Oryctolagus cuniculus: one gene and its partners. The protein of the gene in region 2 binds, or shares a complex with, the protein of the main gene of each other region. Links are inferred from orthologs where the notes say so. Each region holds a gene or a part of one and is shown on either strand. Other genes may lie near its edges.

Region 1 (3,519 bases), on a different chromosome or scaffold from region 2:
GACTCGAACCGGCGCCCATGTGGGATGCCGGCCCTGCAGGCTGGGGCTTTATCTGCTACATCAGAGCGCCGGCCCCGATAAGTTGATTTTGTGAAGGGTTTAGGCCCCTCGAGGTTTTCCAGCCTCGGATGACGTGACAGGTGTTTGTTCTGGAACAGCTGTAGACGGGCGCTCACCCCAGCAGTGCCTCGGGTGCCGCGCTCGGTGCCCCCGCCCCGTGAGAGCAGTCGGCTCCCAAGTGGCAGAGGCCTGAGCCGTGGGCCAAAGCTCTGGTGCCGGGCTGGGCGGAGGGCGGGAGGAGGGTTGGCTCCCAGGGCCCAGCCGGGCCCCCTGACCTCTGCCCCTCAGTCCTAGGCACGGGGGCCGAGATCGATTACCTGGAGCAGTTCGGGACCTCCTCGGTGAGTGTCCCGCGGCACCCTGGCCACGCCCCCCCAGTGTGTGTCCCGCGACACCCTGGCCACGCCCCCCCCGTGTGTGTCCCGCGGCACCCTGGCCACGCCCCCCGTGTGTGTCCCGCGGCACCCTGGCCACGCCCCCCCCAGTGTGTGTCCCGCGGCACCCTGGCCACGCCCCCCCAGTGTGTGTCCCGCGGCACCCTGGCCACGCCCCCCCGTGTGTGTCCCGCGGCACCCTGGCCACGCCCCCCCGTGTGTGTCCCGCGGCACCCTGGCCACGCCCCCCCGTGTGTGTCCCGCGGCACCCTGGCCACGCCCCCCCCAGTGTGTGTCCCGCGGCACCCTGGCCACGCCCCCCCGTGTGTGTCCCGCGGCACCCTGGCCACGCCCCCCCGTGTGTGTCCCGCGGTACCCTGGCCACGCCCCCCCGTGTGTGTCCCGCGGCACCCTGGCCACGCCCCCCCCCCCCCCCCCCGTGTGTGTCCCGCAGCACCCTGGCCACGCCCGTGCTCCAGCCCTCCCTGTGCTGCCGGGGCTGTCCGGTGTGGCCAGGGCGGAGGGCGCGCTGGGGCGTCCCCGGGCCGCGTGGAACCCGCTGAGTGCCCCGCCTCCCCCAGTTCAAGGAGTCGGCCCTGAGGAAGCAGTCCCTGTACCTGAAGTTCGATCCTCTCCTGAGAGACAGTCCTGTGCGACTCGTGCCGCTGGCCACGGCCGCTGAGGCGGACAGGTGCGGGCAGGGTGGACAGGGGCGGGCGGGCAGCAGCACGGGGGGCCCCGTGCGAGCAGACGCGTGTGGGCTGACCCAGCCGCCTCGCTCCTCGGCCCCCAGCACGCAGGTCGCCGCTGAGCCCTCGGGGGGCCCCCTGGACACGCTGCTCGTGGACCTGGACCTCGGGGGAGCCCTGCCTGTCCCTGTGAGCGCGTCGGGCCCCCTGGAGCCGCAGGTCGCTGACGGTGGGGGCTGCTCGCTGGTGCTGGGTGGGAGGAGGCGAGGCTGAGAGCCTTGTGACGCGTCTCTCATCCCTGCAGGTGCCGGCCCAACCCCTGTGTATCCTGGAGCCCAGCTGTCCACCCCTGCCCGTGGGGCCCATCGTGGACGTGCTGCGGTACAGCCAGCGAGACCTGGACGCCGCAGTAAGGGGCAGGCCGCCCTGGGGCTTGGCGGGGCGGGCGCAGCCGCGGGGCACACCTGAGCAGGTGGCAGTGGGGCCTGGTGTAAGTCCATCTGCACCATCCTCTGGGTTAGGACCCCAGCCTCTGCCCTCAGACACGCAGGGCCTCGGCCGTTGGCACCTGGTGTGCCCGGCTAGAGTCACGTGGGGCTGACGGGCACACCGGGAGGATGGGCGCTGCGGGGCCTCTGCTGGGCTGTGCCGTGGCGGGTGTCACGATCCAGCGTGTGAGGCATGTGAGGCAGGTGGCCTCGGCCTGGCCAGGGCCCCCGGGGTCCCCTGAAGCCCCGTGGAGCCCGTGACTCCTGACGTTGCTGTGGGGAGGGGCGGGGCGTGCAGCTCCCGCGTGTGTGTGATTCCCAGGTGCAGGCGGCACAGCAGGAGAACCTGGAGCTGAGGAGCCGGTGTGAGGAGCTCCACACCAAGAACCTGGAGATGGGGTAAGGCCGCGGGCCGGCGGGGCTGGCGGGGCCCGGGGCTCGTGGGGCCGGCGGGGCTGACGGGGCCCGGGGCCGCCGCGGCGCAGCACTGACCGCCCTCCCCCGCAGGAAGATCATGGACGGGTTTGAGGGGATCGTGTACCAGGCGATGGGTAAGTGCCCCGCGTGCCTCGTCCGCCCACGGCCACGGGGCTCTGGGCAGAGCTGTGCTGGGCCCCGTCCTGTCCCCACCGGCTGAGTGCGTCCAGCAGCCCCTGTGGTGGCCGGGCTCGGGCCGCTGCACTCGCCCCTGTGGGACTGCGTGAGGGCGGGTGTCCGCTGGCCCCGTGCCGGCCTGGCCCATGCGGTGGGAGGGCCATCTGGCGGGCCCGCGCTTGCCAGCGCCCTGGTGCCTGGCATGCCGGCGCCCCGACCCGGCTGCTCGCTCTGCAGAGGAGGTCCAGAGGCAGAAGGAGGCTGCCAGAGCGGAAGTGCAGAAGGTCCTGAAGGACAGGGAGCAGCTCGCCGCGGACCTGAGCTCCACGGAGAAGTCCTTCTCCGACCTCTTCAAGCGCTTCGAGAAGCAGAAGGAGGTGATCGGCGGCTACCGCAAGGTAGGGCTGCCCGCTCCTCGGCCCGGCCTGGGGCAGCCGTGCCCGGGGGGCCGCAGCGCGGGGGCGGCTCTGCCGACTGCAAGGACAGCGAGGCTGACCGCTGGCCTGGGGGCCTCCGTGGGTGCCTGGGGTCAGGGTGAGCCGCCTGTCTCCATCCTCAGGCCAGTGGCTGGTCCCCAGCCGCCCACAGAAGTAAAGCGGGTACTCCATGGGGGCAGCTCTGCAGAGCGCGTCGGGGAGGGTCGTGAGCACAGAGCCGGGCAGGAGACACCCCCAGGGGCCGCAGCAGCCCCCAGCCCTGTCGGCACGTGACGCGCTATCGGCTGTCCTGGCGGGGGCCGGAGACAGGGCCTCTCCGACAGGGCCGTCTGCCCCGGAGACGCTGCCTCCCTTGCCTCGCCCGTGCCCGTGCCCGTGCCCGTGCTGGGGAGCTCCACGGGCGCACTGAGAAGCCACTGTCCTGTGTGCAGAGGCAGCGCTGGGCTGGACGCCGGGGGCAGGGAGGAGCTCGGGTCAGGGGGCGTGGAACCGGGTGCTGCCCATGGCTGCGGGCAGCAGGTGGCGGGGAGGGGACCCCCGCGGGGACGCCCGCTGCGCACAGTGGCGACTTCCCAGCCAGCGAGGGGCAGCACCTGTGCAGAGGCGAGCGTGTCAGTGTCGGTGCAGTGGGCGGGGCAGCCAGGGGAGCTCGGGTGGCAGGCGCTGGGCCCTGCTGAGCCTGGGGGGAGGCGGCTCCCACGCCAGGGCCACCATGCTGGTGTCAACTGCCAGCCTGCAGCCCGTCCCCTCTACCGTGCCCAGGCACCAGGCAGGCCTTGCCTCACCCCTTGTCAGCTCGCAGGGGTGGCTGGGTGGCGTGAGAGAGGGCAGCTGTGGGTGCTCCCCCCAGAACGAGGAGTCGCTGAAGAAGTGCGTG
Region 2 (2,517 bases):
TGGTCAACTGGGGAGTGAATCAGCGGATGGAAGACCTCTCTCTGTGGGTAATTCTGACTCAAATCTTTAAAAAAAATTTTCTTAGACTTCTGGAGATAATTCAACATTTAGAATATTAGATCTTAATGTTAATTTCCTTACGACTGACTGGTTGTGATTACAGAGGAGAATGTCCCGATTTGTAGATGTATACTCCAGTGCTCAATGATTAAACATCTGCAACTTATTTTCAAAAATTCACCAAAGGGGCCAGCCAGCATTGTGGTACAGCGGGTTAAGCTACATCCTGCATCACTGGCATCCCGTGAGCACCATCTCATCTAGCTCCCTACTAATGCACCTGGGAAAGCAGAGGAAGATGGGTCAGGTGTTTGAGCCCCTGCTGTGTGGGAGACTCAGATCAAGTTCTTGGCTCCTGGCTCCAGCCTGGCCCAGCTGCTGCTGTTGCAGCCATCTGGGGAGTGAACCAGCAGATCAAAGATATCTCACTCTCTGCTTCTCCGGGTCACTCTGCCTTTGAAATAAATTTTTAAAAATAAATTAAAATAAAAAGTTCACCAAACCCAGCTGCAGTCAGTATGACAAAATGAAAACTTGGAATGCAGGTGGTGGACACACAGGTCTACCAGTGACTACTAACTGCATTTCTAAAGTTTTTCTAACGAGGCTGGAAATAAGCTGGGGGGTGGCAGACACCCAGCCAGGAGTGTTCTGCAGGTCACGCAGAACTGTGTTCAGCCATGCCTGGTGCAGTGAGCACAGGACTGTTCACTCAAGTGAACTGTGACCTGCGACTTAGCAGCCACCTCTGCAGACGCCAGAGCCCTCCTCAGCACTGAGATGAGATGGACTAAGTCAGGGGTTACAGAGCACCTGTCCACAGTAACAAAGAAACTGGCGGTCATTACCATCTGGGATGCAGGGGGAAGTGACCAGCAACATTTATATAAAGGACTTCTTCAAAACAAGGTGCTATCTTTCCGTTGCTGATGACACCACTGGGCAGGGTAAGGTAAAGACTCAACCCTTCGACCTCGTGAAACCTACGGTTCTTTGTTATTTGTCTCACTGATGACAAGAGCCCCCACTCAGAACTATCAGTCCAAAAAGACAAGACTCCAACAGCAGGTGGGATAGACTGTTGGAAACAGCAGGAATGGTCTGTAACAGGAGGGTATCCCCGCAGCCCCTCAGGCTGCACTATTTATTTTAACTTTCATTTGGAAAATTCACCCAAGACTTAAATTGTTAATCAAGTCCCTTTTTTATTATTTATTAAAGATTTTAATTATTTGAAAGGCAGAGAAAAGCAGAGGTAGAGAGAGATCTTTCCATCCACTGGTTCACTCCCCAGATGACTGCAACAGCCAGAGCTGCAGCGATCCAAACCCAGGTGCTTCTTCCAGGTCTCCCACGTGGGTGCAAGGGCCCAAGCACTTGGGCCATCTTCTGATGCTTTCCCAGGCCACAGCAGAGAGCTGGATGGCAAGTGGACCAGCCAGGACTCAAACCGGCGCCTATTTGGAATGCCGGCACTGCAGGGGCTTAACCTGCTATGCCACAGCTCTGGCCCCATGCTTCAGCTCTAGGGACAGAAAGGCTCCCCCTCCTGTTGACAAACAGACCAAAGGGAATCTAAGTAACAGCTGCCTTGATGCGCCCTCAAAACCAACCATTTTCAAAGTTCCCCAGAGGAAATGTTGTTGGACCAAGACAGATTTGTTGCTTTCTAAAACAGCTTCAGGAAACAGAGCCGCCTCCTCCACTCCCACTCCCACTCCCAGCGTCCCTGTTAGCTTAAGGGCTCCTCCCCCTCTGTCACACACTTGTCATCTTTGGCTTATTCACCCCCTTCATTAGTCTCTAAAGACATTAAGCATCTTTAATCCTAGGCCCAGAACACCCTAAGTAGCCCCAAACAGCTAAAGAACAAAATTTTCTTGAAGCCACTAGTTTATTATCAGGTCGAAATTACTCTGCCCCACCCTTGCAAAATCTACATGTAACTTATATTTTGCTCATGGTTAGGCCCCGGGGTTTCTGCTTAAGCAAACCACCTCCATCTCTGAAGTCACCTACCTGGAGGATGGAGCGTGTACCGACCACCCGAAGTCTGCAATCTTCAGCTCCCCAGCTGATCCAAGAAGCAGGTTCTCGGGCTTAATATCTCTATGAATGACTCTCTTTGAATGACAGTACAACAGGGCGTTTGCCAGCTCGGTGATATACTGTTTGAAAAGAGCATGGGAAGCCTGTTTCAGGTTCTATAACAAAGCTAATGTTCGACAGACATCTCTTCTGAAGGGAGCACCCACGGAAACGAGCATTCCTGCAGGATTCCTGAGGCAAACACTGCAGAACCACGCACGAGCCTCCGAGTCGAGAGACCTGACTGACGGCACCTAGCATCGGGAGGGAGTTACCCAGTGCCCAGTTACCGCCTCGCTAAGCAGCTGATGTGCTGTGCAGACGGTGACGACGAGCTTGCCTGTCCCCTCACATGGCCAGTTATGGCCC
Region 3 (2,664 bases), about 21 Mb from region 2:
CTCTAAGGACAACTTACTCAAGAGGCTAGCCTCTTTGCAAAATCCAAACTACCATTTGTTGATTGAAAGAGAAAACAATATAATCCCTACTCCAGATACACTCATAACATCAGACTCAACTTCTTTGATTATTCTGTAATACTTGATACCTGCCTGTTGTGTTTGCTCCTGTTACAAGGCTATTTCTTTTACAATTCCCAGGGCAGGCCCATTGAAACATTCTACAGCACAATTCAGTAAATGCAGTGTCTCTGTTCTAATCTGGCTCGATTCAGGGTTGATTATTAGAGTACCCAAAAGCCTTCTCCAGCAAACTTCTTGCTGGTTCTTGTTGTTTTGTTTTTAAGTTCATGCTGTTGGTGAATAATAATAGTCAAGTTTTTTGTTGTTGTTTTGTTAAAAATTTATTTATTTGAAAGTCAGAGTTACACAGAGAAGGAGAGGGCTAGAGAGAGAGAAATCTTCCATTCGCTGGTTCATCCCCAAATGGCTGCAATGAGTGGAGCTGGGCCGATCTGAAGCCAGGAACCAAGAACTTCTTCCGGGTCTCCCACATGGGTGCAGGGACCCAGGAACTTGGGTCATCTTCTACTGCTTTCCTGGGCCATAGCAGAGAGCTGAATCTGAAGTGGAGCAGCCAGGACTTGAACTGGCGCCCATATGGGATACCAGCACTGCAGGTGGCAGCTTTATCCCTTACGCCACAGCACCAACCCCAGTAGTCAAGTTTAAGATTGTACTGTAACAAATTCTTAATTTGTAAAATTCTGCTACAATTGAGTACAGCCCCTTTTACTCTTTGACACCGGAGATGGGTTTTTTTGTTTTGTTTTTAAGATTTATTCATTTGAAAAGCAGAGTAATAGAGAGAGGGAAAGATAGAGAGATCTTCCATCCTCTGGTTCACTTCCCACATGGCTGCAATGGCTAGGCTGGTCCAGGCAGAAGACAGGAGCCAGGAGCTCACATCCCGTGTGGTTGCAGAGGCCCAAGTACTTGGGCAATCTTCCGCTGCTTTCCCAGGCACATTATCAGGGAGCTGGATTGGAAGTGGAGCAGCCAAGACTCAAACCAGTGGCTTAACTCATGTTGCCACAACACCTTCAGTGAAAGCTGAGGAACCCAGCAAAACCCTGAATAAACAGAAATCTGGGCTCCAAAACCCTGTGTACTTTTCCATTATACTGTGTTGTCTTACCCACTCCCCCTTTCTTTAAGTTAGTGACTGGGATCTGCAAGTCTATGCAAACATTTTCTCAGAAAGAAATAAAAGCAACTATAAGCATTGTTTGCTAATATTCTAGTCAGTGGTAACTTTATTTTCCTTACTCTGCAGGTGCACAAAGCAAATCCAATACGCAAGTATCAGGGTGTGGAAGTAAAGTCAAGTGACCAACCTCTGACTGTGCCTGTATCTCCCAAGTTCTCCACTCGATTCCACTGCTAAACTCAGCTGTGACCTGCAGATACTGCTTGGCAGCTGGAGCTGCTTTTAACGTCAAACCAGGAGCCTTCTTCCTTGTCGCTGGGAGTGGAGAGAACCGATTTCTCCAGTCTTTTCAGCTACTCGTGTCAGACAGAATGTACTTGACAACTATGGGCTCAAGTTTTGTTGAGAGTTGTTTTTTTTTTTTTTGAGGCTAATAATGAGACTCAATTCATGTATGCCTTGATTAGACTCCATGTAGTTATTTCCTTTATACCATCAGTTGACCTTTAATATGTGTCTTAACTCTGGCTAGAATTTCAAGTCTCTGTGATAGCACAGTGCAGTCTTATTCCCATTGCCCCCTTCTGCCTTTCTTATATATATATATATATTATTATTATTTTTAAATCAGAAAATAAAGATAGTTAAATCCTGAGATAGGGTTTAAGTCCTGGTTTCAATGAGGAGCAAATGCTACTTCAGATTCTTTCCTCCTCTCTGCACAAATGAGTTTGTAGTTAAGAAGCCCTGTGCTATAAGGGTGAAAACCTCATTAACTGCATCACTGAGGAAGAAGATGGCGTGAACGCATGGGAACCTCACAGCAACCATTTGGCAAGCTTTGGGCAGAGCTGGTTTTAAGGTATCTTCTTCCCTTATCTGTGCTGAGAATTACAGAGAGCAGTGCAGTGTGCATTTTAAAACCTGGCATGTAATAAATACTTTTCGTCTTCTCCTCTCTCATTTTGTTATTTGATACTTTTCAAATCTGTCAAGCCTCTTTGAAGGACATCTCTCACTGGGGAAATGGGTAGTTTGAGAGGTGGGTCCAGAATCTTTTTTTTGTTTTTTTTAAGATGTATTTATTTGAAAGGCAGAGTGACAGAGAGAGAGAGAGAGGAAGAGACAGATCTCCCATCCGCTGATTCACTTCCCAAATGGCCACAACAGCCAGAGCTGGGCCAGGCTAAAGCCACAAGCCAGGAGCTTCTTCCAGGTTTCCTATGTGGGTGCAGGGTCCCAAGCACTTGGGCCATCTTCTGCTATTTTCCCTAGTGCACTAGCAGAGAGCTGGATGAAAAGTAGAGTAGTCCTGACTCAAAGTGGTACCAGCATGGGATGCCAGCCCTACAGGCCATAGCATAACTTGCTGTACCACAATGCCAGCCACTCCAGAAACTTGAAAGCACAGGCTCAGTCCTTAAAAAAAAAAGTTGTAATTTTTTTTCTTATAT

Evidence for each region.
Region 1: the proteins of AURKA (region 2) and TACC3 are in contact, whole or in part, in a crystal structure (PDB 5ODT), measured with the Homo sapiens proteins. The link is inferred for Oryctolagus cuniculus from reciprocal best matches to the Homo sapiens genes AURKA and TACC3. Residues at the interface, in NP_001310232.1 of Homo sapiens: Leu130, Phe133, Glu134, Ile135, Gly136, Arg137, Tyr148, Leu149, Ala150, Arg151, Ile158, Val163, Arg205, Tyr207; in NP_001428248.1 of Homo sapiens: Glu523, Ser524, Phe525, Arg526, Pro528, Val531, Leu532, Gly533.
Region 3: the proteins of AURKA (region 2) and TPX2 are in contact, whole or in part, in a crystal structure (PDB 3HA6), measured with the Homo sapiens proteins. The link is inferred for Oryctolagus cuniculus from reciprocal best matches to the Homo sapiens genes AURKA and TPX2. Residues at the interface, in NP_001310232.1 of Homo sapiens: Lys125, Arg126, Gln127, Trp128, Asp132, Glu152, Gln154, Ser155, Phe157, Leu159, Lys166, Glu170, Gly173, Glu175, Leu178, Arg179, Val182, Glu183, Ile184, Ser186, His187, Leu188, Arg189, Tyr197, Gly198, Tyr199, His201, Val206, Tyr246, Ser249; in NP_036244.2 of Homo sapiens: Gln3, Lys5, Ser6, Ser7, Tyr8, Ser9, Tyr10, Asp11, Ala12, Pro13, Ser14, Asp15, Phe16, Ile17, Phe19, Ser20, Ile31, Asp32, Trp34, Phe35, Glu36, Lys38, Ala39.

The regions. Positions count from the first base shown.
Region 1 is NC_091433.1:622,264-625,782, forward strand, and holds part of TACC3 (transforming acidic coiled-coil-containing protein 3), read left to right. Parts: intron 1-348; coding exon 349-401; intron 402-1,015; coding exon 1,016-1,125; intron 1,126-1,227; coding exon 1,228-1,342; intron 1,343-1,427; coding exon 1,428-1,532; intron 1,533-1,933; coding exon 1,934-2,010; intron 2,011-2,118; coding exon 2,119-2,162; intron 2,163-2,442; coding exon 2,443-2,603; intron 2,604-3,492; coding exon 3,493-3,519. UniProt on the Homo sapiens protein: Plays a role in the microtubule-dependent coupling of the nucleus and the centrosome. Involved in the processes that regulate centrosome-mediated interkinetic nuclear migration (INM) of neural progenitors.
Region 2 is NC_091442.1:5,237,541-5,240,057, reverse strand, and holds part of AURKA (aurora kinase A), read right to left. Parts: intron 2,229-2,517; coding exon 2,080-2,228; intron 1-2,079. UniProt on the Homo sapiens protein: Mitotic serine/threonine kinase that contributes to the regulation of cell cycle progression.
Region 3 is NC_091442.1:25,931,785-25,934,448, reverse strand, and holds the end of TPX2 (targeting protein for Xklp2), read left to right. Parts: intron 1-1,336; coding exon 1,337-1,447; 3' UTR 1,448-2,163; downstream 2,164-2,664. UniProt on the Homo sapiens protein: Spindle assembly factor required for normal assembly of mitotic spindles. Required for normal assembly of microtubules during apoptosis. Required for chromatin and/or kinetochore dependent microtubule nucleation.